Tribolium castaneum: one gene and its partner. The protein of the gene in region 2 purifies or fractionates together with the protein of the main gene of each other region. This does not show direct contact. Links are inferred from orthologs where the notes say so. Each region holds a gene or a part of one and is shown on either strand. Other genes may lie near its edges.

Region 1 (7,967 bases), on a different chromosome or scaffold from region 2:
CGGAAAAATATCACACATACAAGGAATTTATAATTATAATTCTAGAATTATAATTACGAAAACATTGAGAAGGTTTCGTTATACGCATTTAAAAAACTAATGGAATTTGAATGTATCTTTTTCGTGTTTTGGCAACTACAGAAACCTTCTCAAATCACAGATTCTTTTTTACTTTGTTGCGATACCCACCCTCCCTTTCAAGCACTTTCGTATATTTAATCAGCGTGTCGACTTATACGAAAAACTCGAAAATTTTCATACACCACCCACGCAAGGCACAATCAGGCCTCACAAAAATCTTTCATAAAAAATACCAGTCACAAGATTTATTATTCTCAAATTTCCTGAGTATGAATTCAGTGAATTGGAAATTGTTTCAAAAAAATCAACCAGGGAAAAACCGAAACACGCTCCTCTGGACAGTTTTTGATTATCGCAGTCTTTTGCTTTTTAAGAGAAAAGTTAATATAAATTCGCAAAATCTAAAGAAGCACCAGAGCGTGTTTTGCTTTTTTCCGCAATGAAATTACACACAACTTCAGCGAAACAAAGAAGCAATAATAAATCAGGATTTTAAGATTACTTCTGTCTGACTGCAGTGCATAGGTAATTTCTTCACCAAAGACCATTATAAAAATAACTACTTATGATTAATTCGATATGTGAAATAGACAAATGCTTTTATTGTAATCAAGTACAACACTAAAGTGAAGACGAACGTAAAAGACGCAACAAGTGATAGAGGAGACACCACTTCACTCTTCAGTCTTGAGCTAAACCGCCTTTCACGAAACCAGGCGAAGATTCAGACACTATTCACAAGCGTTCACAGCTACGATTAGCACTCACAGTTTATCAAGAGTCCATATGCATCAGCACTCACTCTGCACCCCGAAAACCGAAAGTATTGGGGAACAATACCATGTCAAACTAGCTGACCAGCTTTACTCAACCGAGAGATGAGCAAAACTGGTCCGACTCAGCCAAAACGAAAACTAAAGTCTGCAAGAATTTTGGTTTTATGTATAATGCGAATCCAATATCGATGCCGTTGACCACACCTTCGTTAGATTTCCTTCTGTTAAACCACAACATGCCAAAGAAAATCTGAAACCATCGAAAGCACTGTCAAACTTCGCTCAGCACACCGATTTTCGCGAGACACATACAGTCCAACGCCAAGTCTCAAACGCAGCAGATCCAACCGACCCACCACAACTAACTTTATTTTAATTTTAAAAAAATCCCAGCTATAATTTTAATAATGTCTGTTTTATATTATTTGTAACGATTTTTTGCCAATTGGATCTGCTGAAACTGTCCACTCCCACTTACCAACTAGCTACAGCGGCCGTCGAATTAGCCTTCAACTTGCGCAACTCCTTCGTAGCCCAAGTGGCCAAAGTTCTAGTACGATTAGTTCCACTTCGTCTGCCTTTCGCCAACATCTCGTTGATCGGCTCCAAATCCAGGAGTTGTAAAAGTGGTGCTCCAAAAGCCGTACAGAGATCCCCCACCAATCCGGCAGCCACCGCAACCGTGGCATCAGAATTGAACGTGTCTTGTGCCACCACGGTTATAAATTGAACGATGAAAGGAATGTGCGGTTCGAGAATCAAAACGTCGGGATTAGGTGTCGGGCCATCGCCTTTTAAACCCTGTACAATGCCCGTGTAAGCATCAAGTACACCTTCGCGTAATTCGTTCAAATAATCGACCATATCGAAATCATCTCTATCGACTTGTGCCTGCGACGCCTGCGCTAGTGTTGTGAGAACAACATCGAGGTATTTTTTGAATTCGGGGCCGATACTTAGGACGATATCGCCGAACACTGAAAGAATCTGTGGCTTGACGCTACGGTGGACCGATTGATCGCCGAGATTTTCGAGCAGAAGAGTCATGATTTCGTCGCAATAAGGAAGAGCTTTTAGTTTGAGAGCGCGGAAAATGTCACCGGTTAGACCGACTGCGGTACCACAAACTTGGTACTCTTGGTGGTTTTTAAGGCCGATGTAAAGAAACGGCTTGAACGCGTCCATGTATTTGATGAAACCTTCACCGAGGACTTCCACCAGGGTTGACACTGCCATCAGTGCGTCCTCTTGTACACCTAACACAAACAACGTTTAATTCCCGTACTTATAATTTTTTATAATACGCCTTCAAACTAAAATCTTTAATACAATTCACTGTAAAGTGTAAGCGAAAGATTTTATTTGAAGGCGCATTTGGCTGGTGAATTACCTCCACTTTTGCACGAATTCGAGTTGAACATGGTCAGCATAGCAGTCATGATGGCGTCGGATATTTGCGGCGCGTCCTCTGGTGTAACTTTCCTCAAAACCGACTGAAGTGTTCCGCACAACAACGACTGGAGATCATTAAACTGTGACCTATCATTGTGGCTCGTAATGTGTGTTTCCATTTGTAAAACTTGTTGCAAACGTTCAAGAATCACCATTGTTGTCTTTTGTACGGTGACGTAGCAATCTTTCGGTGAATTCTTCACCATTTCCATCAAAGCCTCGTAGGCTGCCGGTCTGAGATTAGCTTGAGCGCCGTCTGGACGGTCCGTAGTCTCCAAAAGCCGCTGAATTATATACTCAAAGTATTGTGACAACATGTACGTATCGGGAGTTCCCGTGTCTTCGTTAGTTTCAGCTGCATCGTAGGCGGCTTCAGCCAATCCAGAAAACGCCCAACAGACATTCGCCGCAACTCGCGGTTCAGCCTTAAGTCCATTAATCAAACTTTCCAGCAAGGGCTTAAGATAATTCTCGTTAATGGCCGCTTCGGGAATAATTTCGCAAATTCGGCCGAAAGTCCAAGCCGCAGTATCTCTCACGATAACGCTACTATCATACATCAGCTCTATCAAGGTTGGCATGGCTTGCTCCACCAATGGTTTAAGAGTGGTGTTATCTAACCCGCCAAGAATCGAGCCGAAAGCCATAAGCGACGCATCTCTAAATCGCCAATTCTCAGACTTTATGTTTTCTTTGATAAAAGGTAAAACGTGTGGAACAACTTCGTTTTCGCAGCATGTGGCCAAAAGCATTAAACAAACGCCGGCAGCTTTGCTCGGGTTCCAGTCGTCTTCGTCATCGAGCTCTTCTTGCTTCGTTAGTTTTTGCAGAAGGATGGGTACGATAAATTGGAGCGCACCTTTGGCGTAGTGGCGTGATACTCTGGAAGAAATATTCGCTTAACTGACTGACGGTTGAGTCAGCGTAACAGGACAATGAATAATCTCCGTTCTAATAATAGGCTTGTTGACTTAACACTTATCTATTTTTTGATGTTTCAAACGCAAATTGTGAAAATCAAATCAAAACAAGGCTTTTATCGATCATAAAAATACCAAACTAAAGTTAGCAACACAAAAGCATCGTTAGTTTAATTTGTGTTTATAAAAATCTGACTAGGTTTATGAAACTACTACTAATCTGATTCTTTTAATAGCATGGCAAAAGCCGTAAAAAGATTATTTATTCTTGTTAACATTTATTGTGGGAATTCTCTGACCGAAGTAAAAACAGAAAAACTTAGTTATCTAATGATATTTAACGATTAGCTGATTAAGTTACGAATTTATCATATCGCTCACAGACTGGATTTCACTTAAACGCATAAACAGGGAATTACAGTTTTTACTAATAGTCATTCCAGAAATGATGCTCTTACCTGGCTGGGGGCCGGCCTGCATCCGCTGCCTCATTGGCTTCGATGGACAAATCCACTTCTTCGTCGCTAACATTCGACCAAAATTCAATACCTTGAAGCGCCACGGCATCATTGTCAGATTTCATCGCTTCTAAAGTAATGGGAAAGAGAGCTTGGCCCATGTAGGGCTCCATATATTGATAATACAAAGACATAATTTTAACCAAACATTGCAACGCTGCAACTTTAATTTGCGTATCTGGCGACTGAGTGGCTTCGCACACCACCTCCATGATGAAATTCCTTTCAGTTGCCTTTTCGAAGTTAGCTTTAGTGAATTCGAGCGAATTTAACAACGCCTGCGTTGCCGCAAATCTGACATGATTGCTGGGCTCTGTGGAGCGCATTCCGTGGATGATCGCCGTGAGGATGTCGTTGGATTGGGTAACGAGCACGTCTGAGTCGATTTCCTGGCAGATGTAGCCGATGGTCTCCAGCGTTGCTTCTTTCTGCATTTCGGTGGAGTTTGGTTGGACTACGTTGTTCACTAGCGTGACGATCAGGTCGGGCCATTGGTGGTGCGGTAATTCGGTGACAGCGATGTAAGCCACGCATTGGGCCGCTGACGAAGGCCGGTTGGTCTCCGTGCCCAGGGCCCCTACGACCTGGAGAAAACGGTCGAAAAAAACACTAACAAAACCGGTATATAAACAATTACGTTTTTCTTGACGTAGTTGCGTATCTCCTCCGGTGCCGACAGCCATCTCTGTTGACATAACTGTTTGATGTTGGGATCTTTGGACGTGAGTTGGTTTTTCAGTTGGAGACCGGCGGCCATGCGAGCAACGGGACTGTTGCCCCCATGTCGCAAGATATCGGATAGAGTCTTGATAAATTCTAAGATATTAGCGGCGGCAGCTTGCTCAAGAAATGTTGATGCTTGCTCCAGTTCATTTTTATCTGGAAATCGTCAAATAGGCTGTGATTAACGGAAAATCACTGAGGATAATGACCTCGAAAAGTGTGAGGTTATGATGAAACTTTGCGAGCTTGAGGGCTTGAAAAGAGTTGCATTTTGGGAAAAAGAGCGACCGACGTTTCGACGCCGGTGCGGCGACATCGTCAGGTTTTTGGTTTAAGCCCTGACGGGGAGTTGCTTGGGAATTTCGTAAAATGTCAAAGCGGGTTGAAATTTATCGAAAAGGCGGAAATGAGGCGGGGTTGAGAGGAACGTGCTTTTTGATGATTAGGCATGCGATTATATGGCAGTGGTTAAAAAATGATGGCAACTTGTCAAATAGTCAAGTTTTGTACTTACCGGGAGAAACAGTTTTTTCTAGCACTTGTATAAGTCGGAGTGTTTCTTGATGCATTTTATTGTAGAATTACTGACTAATATTGTAAACTTAACGGTTTTAATTAATTGGTTCTTGCAATCAGCCGGCTAACACCACATGGACATGTAGGATGATTAAACTGGCAGGAAGGCTATATTCATACGCTGCTGCTAACGTATGAATGACGGTTCCTTATCGTTATTTCAAAACTACGGCCAATTTCAATCGTTGTTTACCCAAATTATATCAAACAGCGGTTCACACAGTTGTAACAATTTACTTGAAGCACTTTACGTTGTAAATTAACTTGTGATTTGTCACTAACGATAATAAACACTTATACTGTATTTCAGTGCGGAGACAAGATGACCGTTAAACCGATTTGCTTTGCGCGCATTTTCTTAATAGGTTTCTGTACAGTTTACAATGATTACTGCTTTTTTTGATAGATGTCGCAACCATTTATGTTTCTAAGCCAACTTTATAGTGCTTATTCAAAAATATAATATAGGATATTACATTGTTTTTAGTCCCATTTTACTGCAGCTGACGGTTTTTATGATAAACCAATTGTAAATATAACTTGAAAAACAATTTAATGAACTATTTTTCAGACTTTTGACTGTATATATCCCTTTAACGATTCTGTATAAAAATAGGATTCATTTTAAACATAATTGGCCACGCCTATCAATATTTAATTGACTAAAATAACAATATAAATAATTATTTTCTCATTTTTTTTTGACCTAAATTACTTCTCCTGCTCAACGTTTGATTACTATTCATTTTAGTCATAAAAAAAATTCAATTCAAATTATTATTATTATTATTATTATTATTATTATTATTATTATTATTATTATTATTATTATTATTATTATTATTATTATTATTATTATTATTATTATTATTATTATTATTATTATTATTATTATTATTATTATTATTATTATTATTATTATTATTATTATTATTATTATTATTATTATTATTATTGTTATTACTATTATTATTAAGATGTTTCATTTATTGCTATAGGGATGTTAAAAGTGGGTTTATTTTAAAATTAGGTAAAGTCGAGTACTTTCTTCCTGGTGAGCAAAACAAGTTTAGAGCAGAGTGTAATGCATTGTTTCTTGGGTGTTTTGCGAGCACTTTGTGTTATTTTGAACGCACTTAGCTGCACAAACCTGATGGTATCTTGCATACTGTGAATTTATATTTAACATGTTGCGTAGACACATGCATTTCCATTAAAAAAGAAACCACCTGATCGAAGAAAAGGTGAAGGCTTTAGGGAGTAATTAATTGTGGTCATTAATAAAATCTGTAGAAATATGTGGCTTGAGTGTAAGTAACTTCGTAAATATGGGTTTTACAGTGTCCACCACCTTTAATTGCCTTAATAAAACCAATTTAAAAGTCATAACATTCGCCTTTAATATCCAATAAATAAGAGTATAAAGTTTTTCTTTGGACAAACAAACAACTTATGAGGACAGTCGTACACAATAAAGGATTTTTATGGGTATTTCGTAAACGACGAATTTTCAAAAAACGAGCTAAATTGCAATATAATTGCAACATAAATAAAATTGTTGGCGTGCTTGCAGTGGGTATAGGTTCGTATTTGCAATTTGTTGATATTCCCCGGAGTATTATACAAGTACTCTGTATTTATTGTAATGACGCTCTTATGCATTACCAACGCCCGAGAAAGCATATTGAAATAATTGTGGAATTTATTACTGACCGTGGCTTTTTAACACGACCCTGATAGCGTAATTGCCAAGATGGTTACCAATTTTTAGCTTTCTTCGTTTGCCGGAAGGACATGATTCTTCGGACTGCACTTCCTGGTGTGGCAATGTCCACGAGCTACCTTACAGGTGCATCTACGCACATATTTTTTTATTTCAAACCTTAGGAGATGATGGTCTTAAATCTAAGACATGGACCAAAATAGTTTTTGTGTTTTGCTCTATAATTTTATTTCGAACTAAGTATTTCTAACTAAGATAACTACATTATATTCTCAACTTTTATCTGTTTTTTTTTAATATTTGTTTAAACTTTTTCCTTTTTTATCATTATTATTATTATTATTTAGCATCACTTTGCGTTTCATGTCTTCGTGAACCTGTAACATGCTTAAGGCAGGCGTTATTACAGTGTGCGGTCATGCCTGAATCGCCTAATTTGCAGGGTAACCTTTGGCAAAATCTCCTTCATTCGCATTGATTTATAGGAGGAATTTGCAAGTATCGTAAGCACATACACTCGCAATTATTGTCACCCTCTATCCGGAACGGATACTTCAATAGGTCAGTATTCCACGAAGGTGAAGAATTACATCACGTTGGATAAACAAAGTTTCATATTGTGATTTATAAGTGCAAGAAAAGCGAGCTGTTGCAATAATTTAATCCGCAGGTCTTTTGTCGTGCTTATATTCAGTCTGATACTGTATACAATAAACCAATTCATCTCCATCGGCATTCAAAAATGAGCATAAGTGAGAACGGAGATGTAAATAAGACGTTGTTCTAGTAAAAATACAGCGACAGTAACGAGATTTATGCACAGGAGGTTGTAAAATATTGCTCAGCTTGTGCAAAAGTATCAGAATTTCTCAGACAATTCCTGGAAAGATTTTTTCGATTAATTCTCACTTTGCGCTCCGAGACCTCACACCACGTCGGGGAAAGGACATGTTTTGCTCATTATCTGCGTTACTTTTCGCCCAGAATGCTGATAAAATGGGCCATAAATTTGCCACTCTGACGCAGAAATATTTAATAGGTGCATTTAATTCCATTTCGCTATCGCTTATTAGATACAAATACAAATCGCCGACATTGATGATGACAGTCCGGTGTCTTTGTCTAAAATAAATCAAATTTTATATCGGCTGCCATATTAACTTTTAATAGTACAAGAAATGAATCATAAATACTAATC
Region 2 (7,740 bases):
TTACGAGGAACAAGACTTAATAAGCCGGTCCTTTGAAACGATTCTTTTTAATTTGCAGCTTGGAATTTCACTTCCCGATAAATATTGACAGCTTCATTGCTACTGTTGTTTGTAAACAACATTACCGGGTAATATGAGTTGATTTTTTCAAGGAAGGTAAATAATTGCACAAAAGAAAGTGAGTAAACTGTAATAATTTTTTTCTGAAAAGGATTTTCATGCACGCATAAAGCGCTCGTTTTACTAATGAAAATTGTAATTTTGCGTGGGGAAAGCATTTAAATTGGGTCTCCGTTGGATTCTGATTGATGACGATGCATTTTTGGAAAAGCTCGCAATATTGCGGGCTCGCAATTTGAAGTAATGACATGATGCAGCGGCGGACTTTTGTTCGGTTTATTAGGTTTACTGGGGGCTGAGTCATCGTTTAAAGTCGTTTAACGAACGGAAAAAATATACAATTTGATTTTACTTTTAGTTGCAGGTATTTGGTGATTTGTTGGAAATATTGTCTTTCCAATAAATAAATATTTATTTAGTTTAACTAAAGTTGAATTAGAAATCTGTTGCTTTCATATTCCTGTCCATGTTTATTTATAAAGATCTGTCGTAAATTCGACCCATAATCCTGGTTTTAATGTGCCCTTTTGACAAATCCCGCCAGGGTGTATATGTGACGCGTTTTAGCCTTTCTTTAATTCATGACGGCTGCGATATCATATCCTTTTTATTTATTTAATACAAACTTTTACTGCGAGAAATGAAATACATCGCATGCATATTTATTACGAGGTATGAACTTAATGAGAATTACGAGTATTTCTACCCAGCCGTCAGTTGCAATTTAACTTTTTTAATTACTTTTAAAGAATATGGGAATTTTCATTATTGTCACTACTAACTATATCAAGTGCCTTTTTCAATTGTCAAATTAAGTCAAATATGCTTATTAGTTTCTTAGTGTCCATTGTGGTGCAAGTAGCATACTCTTGACATTATTAAATAAAAAACAACATTAATTTTTAATGTAGTGTCAAATTTGGAAGTAGTTATGTAAAATAACGCATAAGCTCACGTTTCAGGAAACCTCTAAAAGAATCTAATAAAATAGCCTTACTCACTTTTAACGAATTTATCAACCCAAACCTTTTTTGGATGGTAAATTGGCAACATGTCAGTAGGGGAAAGTGAGGGAATACCATGCAACGGGTAAAATTGCGCATCAACGTAACAGCCATTTGATAATTTTTTATATATATTTCTAAATATTATAAATATTTATTTTTTATAAATAAACGAATGATAAATTTCACGCAGTCCTTCTTACAGGAAAATACTGTACAAAAGAAAAACGGAAAAAGCAAGTCTTGGAGCTCTGATAAACTTCAAAAAATAGTAGAAGGAATTAATGGGAATTCCTTATTAAAGATCAAAACAGAAAGAGGCGAAAGCTATGAAAGCACTTACAAATAACTGCTTTTTTACATGATTGAAGATAATATACAGTTTTTAATGAATAGAAATATTTTGCAAATGCACGAGTATAGAAAAACGTATTTAAAAAACAGTTTGCATAAAACTAAATTAAATATTACTAATTATTGTAGAACACAATATCAAAATGATTCATGCAAATTACATTTTTTAATTTCTTTTAGAGTTATTTGTAATAATTTTCTTTTAGGAGAACGGTATTTCCCCACTTTTCCTTACTTATGTCTTTTCGTCGTATTTCTATTTTAATTGTTGAGGAGTAGTTACAGTGATAACTAACTATGAATTTTTTGTACTATGTTGCCATATCATTTTTTTTTAACTTTCTGGATATAAAAATCACAACTTTTAAAATAAATTTATTAAAATTTATTGTTGTTGATTATTATAAATAATTTTCAGTTTCGATGACGTTGAAAAGTAGAAAAACTTGATTCTTTCTTGGTTATATAACTATCTCGACTTTTCTTTTTAATACTGCTAAAAATAATTTTTCTAGAATTTATTGGAATGTGTGCTATAGCAAACTGATGAGTTTCGGGTTTCATTCAAATATTTCCATGAATAAATTTTCGTAACGTTCATTGATACGTTTATTCTGATTATTCATTTTTTTGAAACGTCTTTGTGTGAAAATTGAAATATTATTCAATTACGACATTTTTATTTTAATAGAAAATAATTAATTAAGACATAATTGTATACGAAAATCTTAAAACAAAGAATTGGCTTAAAGTTATAAATTTTTAATATAAAAAAATTAGTAGTAGGGGTGTGGTAGATAATTTAATTTTAAAGAGAGAAATTTTTAATGATCTTTTGGTGGGTTTTTCTAAAATTAAGACAGATACAGAAAGCAATAGAAAATTAATAAATGGTGATCAGTTTTAAAAAGAATTTGAAAATTTTTTCATTAAATTTTGATGACCTAAAATTTAATATAGCTTTCTAATAAACCGACCATTAGTAAACACAACTTTACTAGTCTTGCGCCTAATGTATGCACCCAAATAATATACAAAAGTCACAAAGCACTAGATACAAAAAATTTAAATACATTTAATTATTTAATTTTTGGAAACTCATTGTCAAACTAATCACTGTCTCATTAATAGTCATGAATTGCTATTTTTTAGAAATAGTTACCATGTTTTCTGCCAAGAGACGGAATGAATATGATTCAAATCTATCTATCTTAATACCTAACTACGCAAAAAACGTTGTAATTTTTTTAAGCGATGAACAAACTAGATAAAACCATTTAATTTTTCAAAATTTGTAATTGAGATCGTTTTAGAATATGTATTCATGGTGGCTTTTTACAGGCGCAGGTTTTGTAAAATTATGTGAAACACCCTGTATAATAATTATTTTGATTTAAAATATCTTTTTAAACCACCGATAGCAAAGTGATCATATGCTATCGCATCACATTTGATTAAAAATAAAACTAAATTATTTTTGGTTTCCTAGGAAATAATTTCCAGTGTTGGCATATCTACAAATTGTGATTTTTTGATAATTTTTTTTAATCGTGTACTAAGTTTAAAAATAATTTTTTATTCAAGAAACACGTTTTTGCAATATCCAAAAAACTGTTGTTTTGTGATAAATAATGTTTAGTACTTAGTACTTTTAAAACCATAAATATCAGTTAACTTGGGATTTATAATAGGAATGGGAATTTTGTAACGTGAATTCTTTTTTTAATTAGAAAGAATTATAGTATAGTATAATATTATGACGTATTCCACTAAAAGATAGAATGAGTTTGATTCTAAACTATATCTTAAACAGGAACTAACTAAAAACATTACAACATAGCACTTTTTCAAAATTTAGGATCAAATTCCATTTACAATGTTCTGCAACCAACATTACACCGACAGACTATGTGAGGCCATTTCTATGACCATTCCTAGTCAGTGTTGTTTACATAGCAGCCATAGCAGCCAAACGCCTTAATTTGACGTTTAGATAATAATTTAAACAAAATAAATGTTAACAACTTCTATCAAAAAAAGTTTTGGTGAAGTATTTTACTGGAATTTGAACATGGCGCCAAATGAACGCAAGTGCGTGATTTTGGCGCGTCGACTCGACGCCACCTGGCGGTACATGTCAGCCGTTTTGTGTAAAAATTCGTCCAGCATGGAATCGAGTTAACAAGTCGTAATTTAGTGCCGGTATTGTTTAATGACCAAAACAAAACCACCAGCGAATACGTTTCGTAATTTGGGCAAAAACACAACCAACAATGGGCTCGTATTTATCAGAACCGGCCACCGAGAAAGAGTCCACCGACGACACCAACGGCAAATTAACTTATGGGGCAAGCTCTATGCAGGGCTGGCGTATGACCCAAGAGGTAACCCAAACCACCCCCAAACCCGCCCTCACCCATAACCCAATTCCAGGACGCACATAACTGTATCTTAAACTACGACGAGGACACTTCGTTTTTCGCCGTCTACGACGGACATGGGGGCCAGGAAGTGGCCCAGTATTGCTCGGACAAGCTCCCGGACTTCATCAAGAACACGCCCGAGTACAAGGAGGGAAACATCGAGGAGGCGCTCGTTTCGGGCTTTTTGAGGTTTGACGCGCTCATTGCCACGCCAGAAGTTGTGGAGGAATTGAGGAAAATCGCCGATGATAAGGACGAGAACGAGAGCGACGAAGAGGAAAATGTTAACAATTTGTACGAAGAGGCGGCCATGCCCATTGAGCAAGTTATTGAAAAGTACACCTCTAACTTGTCTAATCCGGCGGTGAAAAGTTTAAAAAGGGACATTAAATCGCCCTTTTTGACCGCCAAAACAGACAGTGACCCCACGGTAGGCACCTCCTCAGCGGGCTCCTGCTCGAGCTCCACGAGCCAAGGCGGCGACGGCGTCAGCAGCTCCAGCGAGGCGGGACTTAAGGGTTAGCTACGTAAAGTTTGTTAAGTTGGCAACATAGGTGTTTGTGTTAGGTGAAGGCCACAATATATAGATAGTCCTGGTGAACCAAATTCCCTTATTTTCTATTCGCGGGCGCGAACCAAAATGTGGAGCAGGTTGGAGCTTTTATTTTATTTAACAGATGGCACTGGTGTAGACTGAGACTATCACAATGTTTAAAAATGCGGCATTTATAAAGAACTATTAATGCTTGAAGCGAATGGTAATTGTGTTTTTTTTTCTGGAAAGCATTTATTATTACCTCAATGTTACATTGTCTTTTGAGGCCGAAAATGCGTCAGAGCGAAGTAAAAAAAAACAGAAGTTACTAGATTACTACTTTTTTTATAAAAAACAAAAAAGGTGAAATTGTGGCAGTCTCAATCTATCGAGCTGCCATCTATCAACTTGCTCCAGCGTTAGAATCAATTATTTATACACAGTGGACCAAAGACGGAAAAAACACTTCTCAAGTACAATATTTATTTAAAAATTTATTCCGTAAGAGTTTAAATTAACATGTTTAATGACTTTGAGCTGAAAATGTTTACTTTCAAATAGTAAAAAAATGTGTGATCTAACTTTCTTGGAAAGTCTCGGCTTTATTATGTTTTTTTTTACTTCTAAATAATTTATTGTCAAATTCTTTTCATTTGCGTGCTTTATTTTGTGTTTTTCATGTTGTTTAGTTTATTTTTTGATTCAAGGTTTTTCAGAAAGTAGCAATTCAAGATAATTACTTTTATTCTTATACAAAAAGCTTCACGTTTCTCCACATTAAAAGTCTTCGTTATTTTAGAAAGAATATTAAAGTATAAGTTGCAACAATTTGCGACTTAAGACGCTATTTACATATTTTCTAACTCGGAACATATCCATTATTCCTTTATACAGGGTGCTCAAAAACTGGCACACCAACTCAGTGGTACATTGTTGATAAGCATGTGTAGATTACGGAAAAAAATCTTGAATAAATTCACAAAATCATATTTTAAAAAATCTGCAGCTACAAACTTATTTTGTTAACTTCTTCAGTTATTATAATTTTTTGATGTTTTTATGTTTCACACTAAGTAATCGTTTCTTAACACAATGAAGAATAATTATTTTTAAATTTACAATCAGACTTTAGCAGTTTTTTTAATTAAAAAAATTAAAATTCAACACTAAAATCACAATTTGTAGGTGTGATAACATTGGGTATTATTTCCTAGAAAACGATTCGAAAAGAATTCATTTTTATTATTGATTAAATTATATTGGGATCACGACTGTTAGACGTCATTTATCAGTTCGTTATTTATCAGTAAATTTAATACAAAGATTCTTTTTACTATTCTTACCTTTATATGTTAAGCAATTCTCCAGACACTATTGAGTTGATGCGCCAGTTTTTTGGCTATGCAACTAATTATATTCCACATGCTGTCCATAATCTCAAACTTTCAATTACATTTTGATTTTCCAAATAAAGAAAAATAGTTTTCTGTGAAATTTTATGGATTAGTTGCCAAAATTTTATTGGCGTTCGCGTGCGCGCTAAAGTTAAAAAAACGCAATACTTTTCACATTACTCATTTATTACTTACGATCTCGAAGGACACGAATATGGAGAAGAAGAACGAAGAGAGCGTAAGGCAGCTTCTGACAAGCAATCTTACAAAGAGATTTAAACTTTCACCTATAAACTTTAAATACAATTCAGCAGTAAAACTACTCTTATTCAATTTATCACGGAAAATTTATTTACATTGCAATATGGATCACATAGTGTCATTGCTTACTCAATATTGTCCATTTTTTTGTGGATTCTTATAACAATAAAGAAACACTAGAAACATTTATAAAAGAAAATTTTACGTAATTAAGTAATAATAATGTATTGCAGAATAATATAATATAAATAAAATAAAAAGTGAAATGATAAAAATAATAATAATTGCAGAAATAAATAAACGGTTTGTGTCCCACTTTAATCGACGTTTAAAAAAATGTGGTTTGTAATCGTAATTTTGTAGGAAGTACCACAATGTGATGTTTTTTCTTAATTTTTCATCTTGATTCGAATTTCGCCTTTTGGCTGTTCTCCTCTGTGAGGCCTCACCTTCGGCCGTCCCTGGGAATGAACAACAGTTGATTATGGAATAGTTGCCAACATAAATTTCGAGACCATTAACAAACCTCCTTTTTGCGTTTAGATAAGACAGAAGAGGAGAACAAGCCGGAGACCAACGGTCCTGGCGAAGTTTCCGACGAAAAACCCAACAGTTCAGAGGTTAAAGACGAAGTTGGGTCCACTAAAGACGAACTTGGGTCCACTAAAGACGAACTTCCAACCCAAAACGGTGAAATTGCGCCTTCCGATTCCGAGGCCCAGGCTAAGAGTGACGTCACGAGTTCATCAACACCTGTTGAAAATGGCACGCCGTCAAAAAAGGGTAAAGGAAAGGCAGTCATTAAACCAGAACCTGTAAAAACACCAACAAACACACGACCAAAACGGACGGCACAACAGTTGTATAAAAACTGGTTGAATTGTGGAGAGGAAGAGAGTGACAGCAGCGACGAAGAAGACCAAACATTTGAGGGTCCAAATGGTGCGAAAACCATTTTTTAGGCCCAAAACTAACGGTTTGTTTGTTTGTAGAGGAGAGCTCGGAGGACGAAAATGAGGGCGTTAACATCGCAATTGACGCGGAGGGCTCTGAGGAAGAGAGTTCGGAAGAAGAGGAGGAGGAAGATGAGGACGAGGAAGACGATGACAGTGAAGATGCAGATGTCAGAACCTTTAAAGAAGAGCCAGGGTCTGACAGTGGCTGCACGGCAGTTGTGGCGTTGTTAAAAGGCAACCAGTTGTACGTAGCCAACGCCGGGGATTCCCGTTGCATAGTGTGTCGGAATGGTAAATAAGTTTTTTTTGGCGAGATACAAAATCGCAGCTTTTCGTTTTTAATAAAGTTAAAAAAACTAACAAGTAAAATTTTCACTAGAAATATGGGAAAAAAATTACTCAAAATTTACGCTTGTCTCTTATCTTTCAAAATGCTGCGTAAAAAGAAAGTAGCAAAGAATTTAATCTTTTTTAAAAAACTCCCGTGGATTGTTAATTGTCGTTAATTGTTTAGACCCCAAAGACGCTCAATATACGGTTCCAGTTCATTTCACCAGTGGTCAAATATCAAAAAATTATTTTAACCGCTGAAGCTAGAAATACGGTTTTCCTGACTTTTTTTATAGGAAATTTAATTTTCTTTATTCATTACACTTCTTAATAGTTATTTAATAAACTAGTTTGTTAATGAAG

What was found.
Region 1: the proteins of uncharacterized protein LOC655879 (region 2) and Fs(2)Ket purify together in Homo sapiens (affinity purification with mass spectrometry; 3 studies listed by BioGRID and IntAct, with this or other methods). This does not show direct contact. The link is inferred for Tribolium castaneum from reciprocal best matches to the Homo sapiens genes PPM1G and KPNB1.

Annotation. Positions count from the first base shown.
Region 1 is NC_087398.1:2,428,100-2,436,066, forward strand, and holds the start of Fs(2)Ket (importin subunit beta-1), read right to left. Parts: upstream 5,377-7,967; 5' UTR 5,040-5,376; coding exon 4,985-5,039; intron 4,627-4,984; coding exon 4,385-4,626; intron 4,332-4,384; coding exon 3,688-4,331; intron 3,192-3,687; coding exon 2,248-3,191; intron 2,114-2,247; coding exon 1,336-2,113; intron 1,108-1,335; coding exon of another isoform or gene 1,107-1,107; exon of another isoform or gene 1-1,106.
Region 2 is NC_087395.1:16,945,752-16,953,491, reverse strand, and holds the start of uncharacterized protein LOC655879, read left to right. Parts: upstream 1-3,588; 5' UTR 3,589-3,751; coding exon 3,752-3,862; intron 3,863-3,911; coding exon 3,912-4,419; intron 4,420-6,634; coding exon 6,635-7,033; intron 7,034-7,083; coding exon 7,084-7,338; intron 7,339-7,740.